2 linked regions of the Arabidopsis thaliana genome follow. The protein of the gene in region 1 purifies or fractionates together with the protein of each later gene. This does not show direct contact. Each region holds a gene or a part of one and is shown in the gene's direction. Other genes may lie near its edges.

Region 1 (3,752 bases):
CTTCCAATAACATCTTCGCGAAGACTTTTCTCTACCTCTTTCATATCAAATTCAACCACATACTTCGCCGCTGAGGAGTTTAACTGTTCTGATAATTTTTCTCGTTCTAACATTTCCTTCCAGGTTGCAAGCCTTTCCCGCCAATTACCTACACTGTCTCCAATTTCACCTATCATAGAAGAATGCAATAGAGGATTAGATGGTCAAAAGCACAGGTTACCAATGATAGTAGATGAGGGATCTAGAAGTGCTGCTCTGAAAGAAACTTGATTAGTGAGATAAGATTAGGTCGTCAAAAACAAAGGTTTCGCACAATAAATCACTTCTTGTTATATCTTCAGCATGCCACTACTAAACAAGTATCACCTAACGAATGTATACTGACCAGAGACACCCAGATCTTGGCTTAGTTTCTTCTTTGCCTCTGTCTGAATCCTAGCATTTCTACCAATTATTTTCTTGAGAGATCCCTCTGTGGTCTCTAGATCGTCATCCCACGCATTTTCTCCAACATAAGAACTATCGTGGACAAGTGTTCCATCAGGCGCTTCAATGAACCTTTTTAATTTCAAGCCTTTAGGTGTTGCTTTCCTCCACATATTTCTCTTGAACCTGAAACACTAGAATAAGTCAGGACATTCTACAAAATCAAATAAACAGAAGTTCTTTTAGTCTTCCCACTCTTGACGCTTTAGATGCCTCATTAGCTGAGTATTTACTTGTTAAAGGATGATACCATAGTTTGAATATGAACCATATTTTACCATGTCCCAGTAGAGAAAATTACAATCGGAAACTGAGGATTAGGAAGCACCTACTTTTCTATATTTCCAGGAGATGGCTCGGGGATCAAAGCCTCCATAAAAGACTCTGTTAACTCTCTTCTCTCTCGTTCTACCCGAGGAGCTTGGATGGCAACATAAACTCTTTGACAAGAAAGTAACAGCGCAAAAGCATATATGAACAAGGCAGCAACTCGTTTACCGTCCCAATTCCTGATGTCCTGATACAATACATCTTCCCTCATTAAGAAACAACCTAATACACTAGTATATGTCGCTAGAATAAGCGTAGTTGTAGTCTCCTCCAAAATTTATGCTTCCGTTAAATCAACAACAAAATAAATAAATACCATACGTTTGTCCCTCAATGTTTTAGAACACAAGCAGAAGTCTAACAATACTTGAGAATCAGAAATTTGATAATTACGTTAAAAAGCTGAACCAGCTTACCTTCCAATGCTCCCACTTGTTCCAATCAATAAACGAAGGCACTGTCTCATTCTTAAAGCGAGTCAGCTCGTGATGGCCCTTGTGCACACTATCCTTAACTCGAGCCACATACTCATTCACTCTCCCACTTGCTTCTTCCGAGTCAAACCCAATTTCTGTCTTCACAGATTCTCCAATCTTCTCCCCAATCCGCTCGGCACCAAGGCGAATAGACTGAGCCAATCTCACCCACGAAAAGCCTCCATCGCTATTAGATGAAGACCCACTACTACTTTCAGACGCATAGACTCGAAAGAGCTGTTTTTTCCGGGTAGCTCCCAGTCCATACTTGGCGGGAAACCGAACAAGACCAAAACTTTTTGATCTTTTCAACAACTGAGTCGATGAAGAGATAAGCGGATTCGGTTTATACGAAATTGCAATCTCCATGAATGAAATCACAAGAAAAAAATTAAAAAGAGAACAAAACCAGACGCATTTGAAGATTTTTCCCGATTAAAGAGCTCTCTCTGAGAAAATTACTGAAGGAAAATGGTGAGTACCAACCATTCAGCTCACTCGACTCTCCGGCAAGACTTACGCTTCTCTCCGGTAAGGAGGTTTATCTACACTGATCCGTCGTTGAGAGTGTCCTAATACTTCGAAGGAGAAAGATGACGCTTAAACTCAAAGAGGCTCGAAGCCTATTAGTTATATAATTGGGCTAGCCCATTAAGGTCCATCAGCCCACTATCCGAAAAATAATATATTTAAACCGTGGAATCCAAGGAGAGACACAGTGGCAAAAAGGGTAATTATAGGGACATTTCTTGGGGTGTTGTCCAAGCTGCTTTTATATAAGGAAGGGATATTGTTCTCTCGCTTCTCGAAAGATCCATTCACCAACTCTTTATACCAGCCTCTGTAACGTTCGATCATCTTGTATTTCATTTCAACCACTCATGTAAGTATATTCTTTCTTCAGATTCCGATTGTTTTCTTCGATTAAGTTTTGAGCTAGATTCTCTAGATCTGTTTCACCGATTTGGTTGATTTCTCCGTCAATCTGAACTCGCGGTGTGCATCTTGTTGTTTGCAGTGTTTTTAGTTTGTTTTACGAAGAATCAACTATGGCGACGAAGAGAAGCGTTGGAACTTTGAAGGAAGCGGATCTGAAGGGAAAGAGTGTGTTCGTGAGGGTTGATCTCAACGTTCCTTTGGATGATAACTCTAACATCACCGATGACACCAGGATTCGTGCCGCTGTTCCCACCATCAAGTACTTGATGGGTAATGGATCTAGGGTTGTTCTCTGCAGTCACTTGGTATGATATCTTATCTCAGTTCTCACTTCACTACTTGCTTATCTGTTGTAATTTTGGTGTGGGAATTTTGATCTGATCTGTTTATCCGGAGAGCCATGCGTATAAGAAGAGTCTCTTTGCATGTTAGGATGTAGATATAGTATTCTTGTTTTTCAATATGTTCATTGACTCTATCGGTTGATTTTCTGGTGTTGTTTGGGTAATTGTTTTAGTAAGTTTACTTGGATATGTTTATACTCAAGTTCAATTGGATGATGCTGTTGAATTAATGGATGTATCTGATCTCAATTTATGTTTCAGGGCCGCCCAAAAGGTGTTACTCCTAAGTACAGCTTAAAGCCTCTTGTGCCCAGATTGTCTGAACTTCTTGGTGTTGAGGTTTGTTCCTCTTCCTCTTCTAGACTTGCAAGGTTTCTGAACATTAGCTTTTAAAAGAACACTGTTCTCACTCTGTTTGTGTTAATAGGTTGTAATGGCAAATGACTCTATTGGTGAGGAAGTCCAGAAGTTGGTTGCAGGACTACCTGAAGGTGGTGTTTTGCTCTTGGAGAATGTGAGGTTCTACGCCGAGGAAGAGAAGAATGATCCTGAATTTGCAAAGAAGCTTGCTGCTCTTGCCGATGTTTACGTTAATGATGCCTTCGGAACTGCTCACAGAGCTCATGCTTCCACTGAGGGAGTTGCCAAATTCTTGAAGCCTTCAGTTGCTGGTTTCCTCATGCAGAAGGTATTTAAAATTTGCAGCATAAAGAGTATCTTCTTAGATGAGTCTCTTTATTTTACTGATCAGACTATTACTTGTTTTATTGTGTCAGGAACTTGATTACCTTGTCGGAGCTGTGGCAAACCCCAAGAAGCCTTTTGCTGCCATTGTTGGAGGCTCAAAGGTTTCAACAAAGATTGGTGTCATTGAGTCTCTCTTGAACACAGTTGACATCCTCCTGCTCGGTGGAGGTATGATTTTTACTTTCTACAAGGCACAAGGACTCTCAGTCGGATCTTCCCTTGTGGAGGAGGACAAGCTTGACTTGGCAAAGTCACTCATGGAGAAAGCAAAGGCCAAAGGTGTCTCTCTCTTGCTCCCAACCGATGTGGTTATTGCTGACAAGTTTGCTCCCGATGCTAACAGCAAGGTAACTATCACAGTCATTGTGGTTGACTCTCAATGGGCCATGTATGAAAGTAAAACATTTAAGCGTCTGGTCTGGTCTCTTTA
Region 2 (3,752 bases), 6.2 Mb from region 1:
AACACGGTAGCTTCCGTAGCCGCGACGGAGCAGATTATGTCCGTGACTTGGCTTCGTAAGCTGATGGATGTTTTCCTCTGTTGCGAAGCTGAATTCAAAGCGATTTTGTTAATGGGTCGTGACCCGACCCAGATTTCTAAGCCGCCTTTTGACCGGTTAGTTCCTGAAATGTTAGACCGGTCGATTAAAGCGCTTGACATTTGTACCGCCGTTGTTAACGGTATCGATTCCGTTAGACATTACCAGCGTTTAGCTGAGATTGCTGTGACGGCTTTGGAGCAACGTCCGTTAGGTGACGGTAACGTGAGGAGAGCTAAACGCGCGTTGGCGAATCTCGTCGTCGCGTTGAGTCTCGAGGATAAAGAGAATGTTAGCGGCGGAGGTGGTGGCGGCGGCGGAGGGAATAAGACGACGGAGAGATCGTGGTCGTTTGGTCGTCGAAGCGGTGGATCATCGGCGGCGAGTAAAGGAGGAGCAACGATTGGTCAGCTCAAATCGTCGTCGTGGGCGGTTGGGAGAAATTGGTCGGCGGCGAAGCAGATCCACGCAATGACAGCGAATCTTACGCCGCCACGTGGTAACGAAGCGGCGGGATTGCCTCAACCAATGTTTATAATGAGTACGGTGATGGTTTTCGTAATGTGGGTGCTAACGGCGGCGGTTCCGTGTCAGGAGAGATCAGGATTAGCGAATCATTTACCAGTGCCGCCGAAACATTTGAATTGGGCTCAGAGTTTGATCGGAATCCATGAGAAAATCGGAGATGAGTGGAAGAAGAAAGAGAAGAAAGGATCTGCTGGATTGATGGAGGAGATGACGAGGATGGAGAAGCTAGGTCACTCGTTGATGGAATTCGCAGATGGATTTCATTATCCGGCGGAGAAAGATGCTGCTGAATCTGCGGCGGTGCAAGTGGCGGAGATGGCGGAGATATGCAGGAGAATGGAGGAGGAGCTTGTGCCGTTACAGCAACAGATCAGAGAAGTTTTTCATAGGATCGTGAGGAGTCGTGCGGAGATTCTCGAGGTGTTGGAGCAAGCCGGGAAAGTTTCGGCGCCAGTTGTGTAAAAGTTTTGAATTATTGGGAATCAATTTCGAAGTTTTGTAATTCTTTGGGGGCTAATAGGATATTTTATTTTCTTGGTTTCGTCTATTGTTGTTTTTCTATTTATGGTTGGGCTTTTAGAACTCTGGACAGGCCCATGTCATATGTTTTCCCTTCTCCTTATATTTTTCATTTTTCATTTTGTTAAATTAATGCATAATATCCAAAAACAATTTAAATTTTTGAAGGAACCCTTTAGTTACGGCTCCGAAGCTTTCACAAGTGAGAATGTGAGATCAAAGAAGGCAAATGGAGGATTTTAAAAGTTAAAATCATCTTTTATCTGCAAAAGTTGACAATTTTTTTGTATCAAATCTAAATCATCAAACTCTCTTAAACTACAAGAGCATAACAACCTCTATGTAATCCATGAAATAATCTGCTTGAAGGACATAACATAAATCATTATGGCTAGAGTGACTAACTTCAATCAAATCCTCTTAACTCTAGCTCCCTTACAATGGTATCGTAAAACATTATGCATTAGGGATTGTTGTCCTAGGAAAATAAAATAAAAATCCCCACAGACCAACTACCATTTTAACTTAAAAATAAGCTTCGTCCGCGACGAATTGTTTTCCATCCTAAAAATAGAATGGTGTAATCTGCTAATGGTTTAGTTCCATTAACTTGCAAGTTCTATTGAAAGCCTAAATGTCAATAAAGATATTAAAATTCGGAGTCAAAAGACAAATGAATCAAAAGCAACAAGACAAGTCAGCTCCATTCTTCACTACCCATCTTTTACAATAAATCATCTCTCTTTTCACAAATTTCAAACTACTCTCATTGCCCTTTAGCTTTGTTATAGAGCCAACACTACAGAGAGACTCACACACTTGTTTCAATAATTAAATCTGAATTTGGCTCTTCTTATAAACTAATGTCTGCAGGTCTTCTTATCTCTCTCACTCACCACCATCTTCTTCCTCGATTGTCAAAACCCTAGATCGAAATCTTATCTCTCTAATCTGTTGTTACAGTTCGTAGAGTCATGGCGTTAGCATCAACCACGTTGCCGACGAAGTCCGGATTATCTCTTTGGTGTCCGTCTTCTCCGTCTCTCGCTCGCCGATTTCCCGCTCGTTTTTCTCCGATCGGTTCTAGAATCGCTTCCAGAAGCCTCGTCACTGCTTCGTTCGCTAACGAGAATCGCGAGTTCGTATATATAATTCTTCCAATTTTGATTCTGGCGTTGATGAATTTCTATGCGATTGATTGTGTGATTGTGTTAGGTTTGTGATTGTTGGTGGAGGAAATGCTGCTGGTTATGCTGCTAGAACTTTTGTGGAAAATGGAATGGCTGATGGTCGGCTATGCATTGTGACCAAAGAGGTGATTCAAATCGATCCCTTAGTGTTTTCTTCATCAGTAACACTATTGGTTTTACTTTGTTTGATTGTTGGATTTGTGGTTGTTATTGTTAGGCTTACGCACCTTATGAGAGACCGGCTTTGACAAAAGCTTACTTGTTCCCACCAGAGAAGAAGCCAGCTCGTTTACCAGTAAGCTTTGCCAACTTTAATGTTTTGATTCGATCAATTTGAGTGGTTCTTTTAGTGCTATTGCTCTTAATTGGCTACATGAACATTATGGAATGAGTACCGGTAGATTGTTTACAGTGTTACGATTGTTACTGATATGAAGATTTGTATGATTTAGTTTTGTGATCTCTGTTTATATTGAGGGTGGTCGTATATGCAGGGATTTCATACTTGCGTTGGAGGTGGTGGAGAAAGGCAAACACCAGATTGGTATAAGGAGAAAGGAATTGAGGTAATTCATCTTCTGATACATAGTTTTGTTTTCTAAAATATATGAATGTAAGTGAAGTGTCTTTGGTTTGATTAACTGTACAGCTTGGAATGTACGTCGGTGAATTTGTGGTCTTCTCTTGTGTCTTACTAATGCATTTTGTTTGGACAGGTAATATATGAAGATCCAGTGGCTGGAGCTGATTTTGAAAAGCAAACACTCACCACAGACGCAGGGAAGCAGTTAAAATATGGATCTCTAATTATCGCTACAGGGTGTACAGCCTCAAGGTGAGTGAAAGTCGCATTTTTTTTGCAATGATTGATAAACAACATCAGAGAACCTAGGCCTTTTCAACCATGTATACTGATATTATGAATATTTGCTCTGGATTTTTATTGTAGGTTCCCAGATAAAATCGGTGGGCACTTGCCAGGGGTTCACTATATTCGGGAGGTTGCAGATGCTGATTCACTGATAGCATCTCTGGTAAGCTAAGGGCATTTTTACCAGTTACCAGTTTTGTCATCTTAATGCAATGTTGTAATATGCGTCATCAGAAAAATCCAAATTTCCTGGCTACAAAATAACCTTCCAATATGTGATACAGGGAAAGGCAAAGAAAATTGTCATTGTTGGTGGTGGCTACATCGGCATGGAGGTTGCTGCTGCAGCTGTTGCGTGGAATCTAGATACAACGGTTATTATCCCTTTCACTTGAATTTTTAAATTGTGCTAGAAATGAAGAATACTTCTAATCATTCGATGAGTTAAACAAATTCCTAGAAACGTTCAGATAAATTGTGGAACAGATGTACTAACTTACAGTTGCTTTTGGGCTTTCCCATGTGGAACAATAGATTGTATTCCCTGAAGATCAGCTTTTGCAAAG

The links.
Region 2: the proteins of PGK (region 1) and MDAR6 fractionate together in Arabidopsis thaliana (co-fractionation; one large-scale study listed by BioGRID). This does not show direct contact.

The regions. Positions count from the first base shown.
Region 1 is NC_003070.9:29,924,885-29,928,636, reverse strand, and holds the start of PGK (phosphoglycerate kinase), read left to right. Parts: upstream 1-2,000; 5' UTR 2,001-2,175; exon of another isoform or gene 2,176-2,310; 5' UTR 2,311-2,341; coding exon 2,342-2,536; intron 2,537-2,836; coding exon 2,837-2,914; intron 2,915-3,002; coding exon 3,003-3,263; intron 3,264-3,351; coding exon 3,352-3,669; intron 3,670-3,752. Other genes in the region: FTSH12 (FTSH protease 12), read right to left, coding at 1-169, 386-612, 819-1,003, 1,233-1,661.
Region 2 is NC_003070.9:23,728,107-23,731,858, forward strand, and holds the start of MDAR6 (monodehydroascorbate reductase 6), read left to right. Parts: upstream 1-1,768; 5' UTR 1,769-1,988; coding exon 1,989-1,998; exon of another isoform or gene 1,999-2,088; coding exon 2,089-2,263; intron 2,264-2,340; coding exon 2,341-2,440; intron 2,441-2,532; coding exon 2,533-2,610; intron 2,611-2,809; coding exon 2,810-2,881; intron 2,882-3,031; coding exon 3,032-3,150; intron 3,151-3,264; coding exon 3,265-3,349; intron 3,350-3,470; coding exon 3,471-3,560; intron 3,561-3,720; coding exon 3,721-3,752. Other genes in the region: ROH1 (uncharacterized protein), read left to right, coding at 1-1,068. UniProt on the Arabidopsis thaliana protein: Catalyzes the conversion of monodehydroascorbate (MDA) to ascorbate, oxidizing NADH in the process.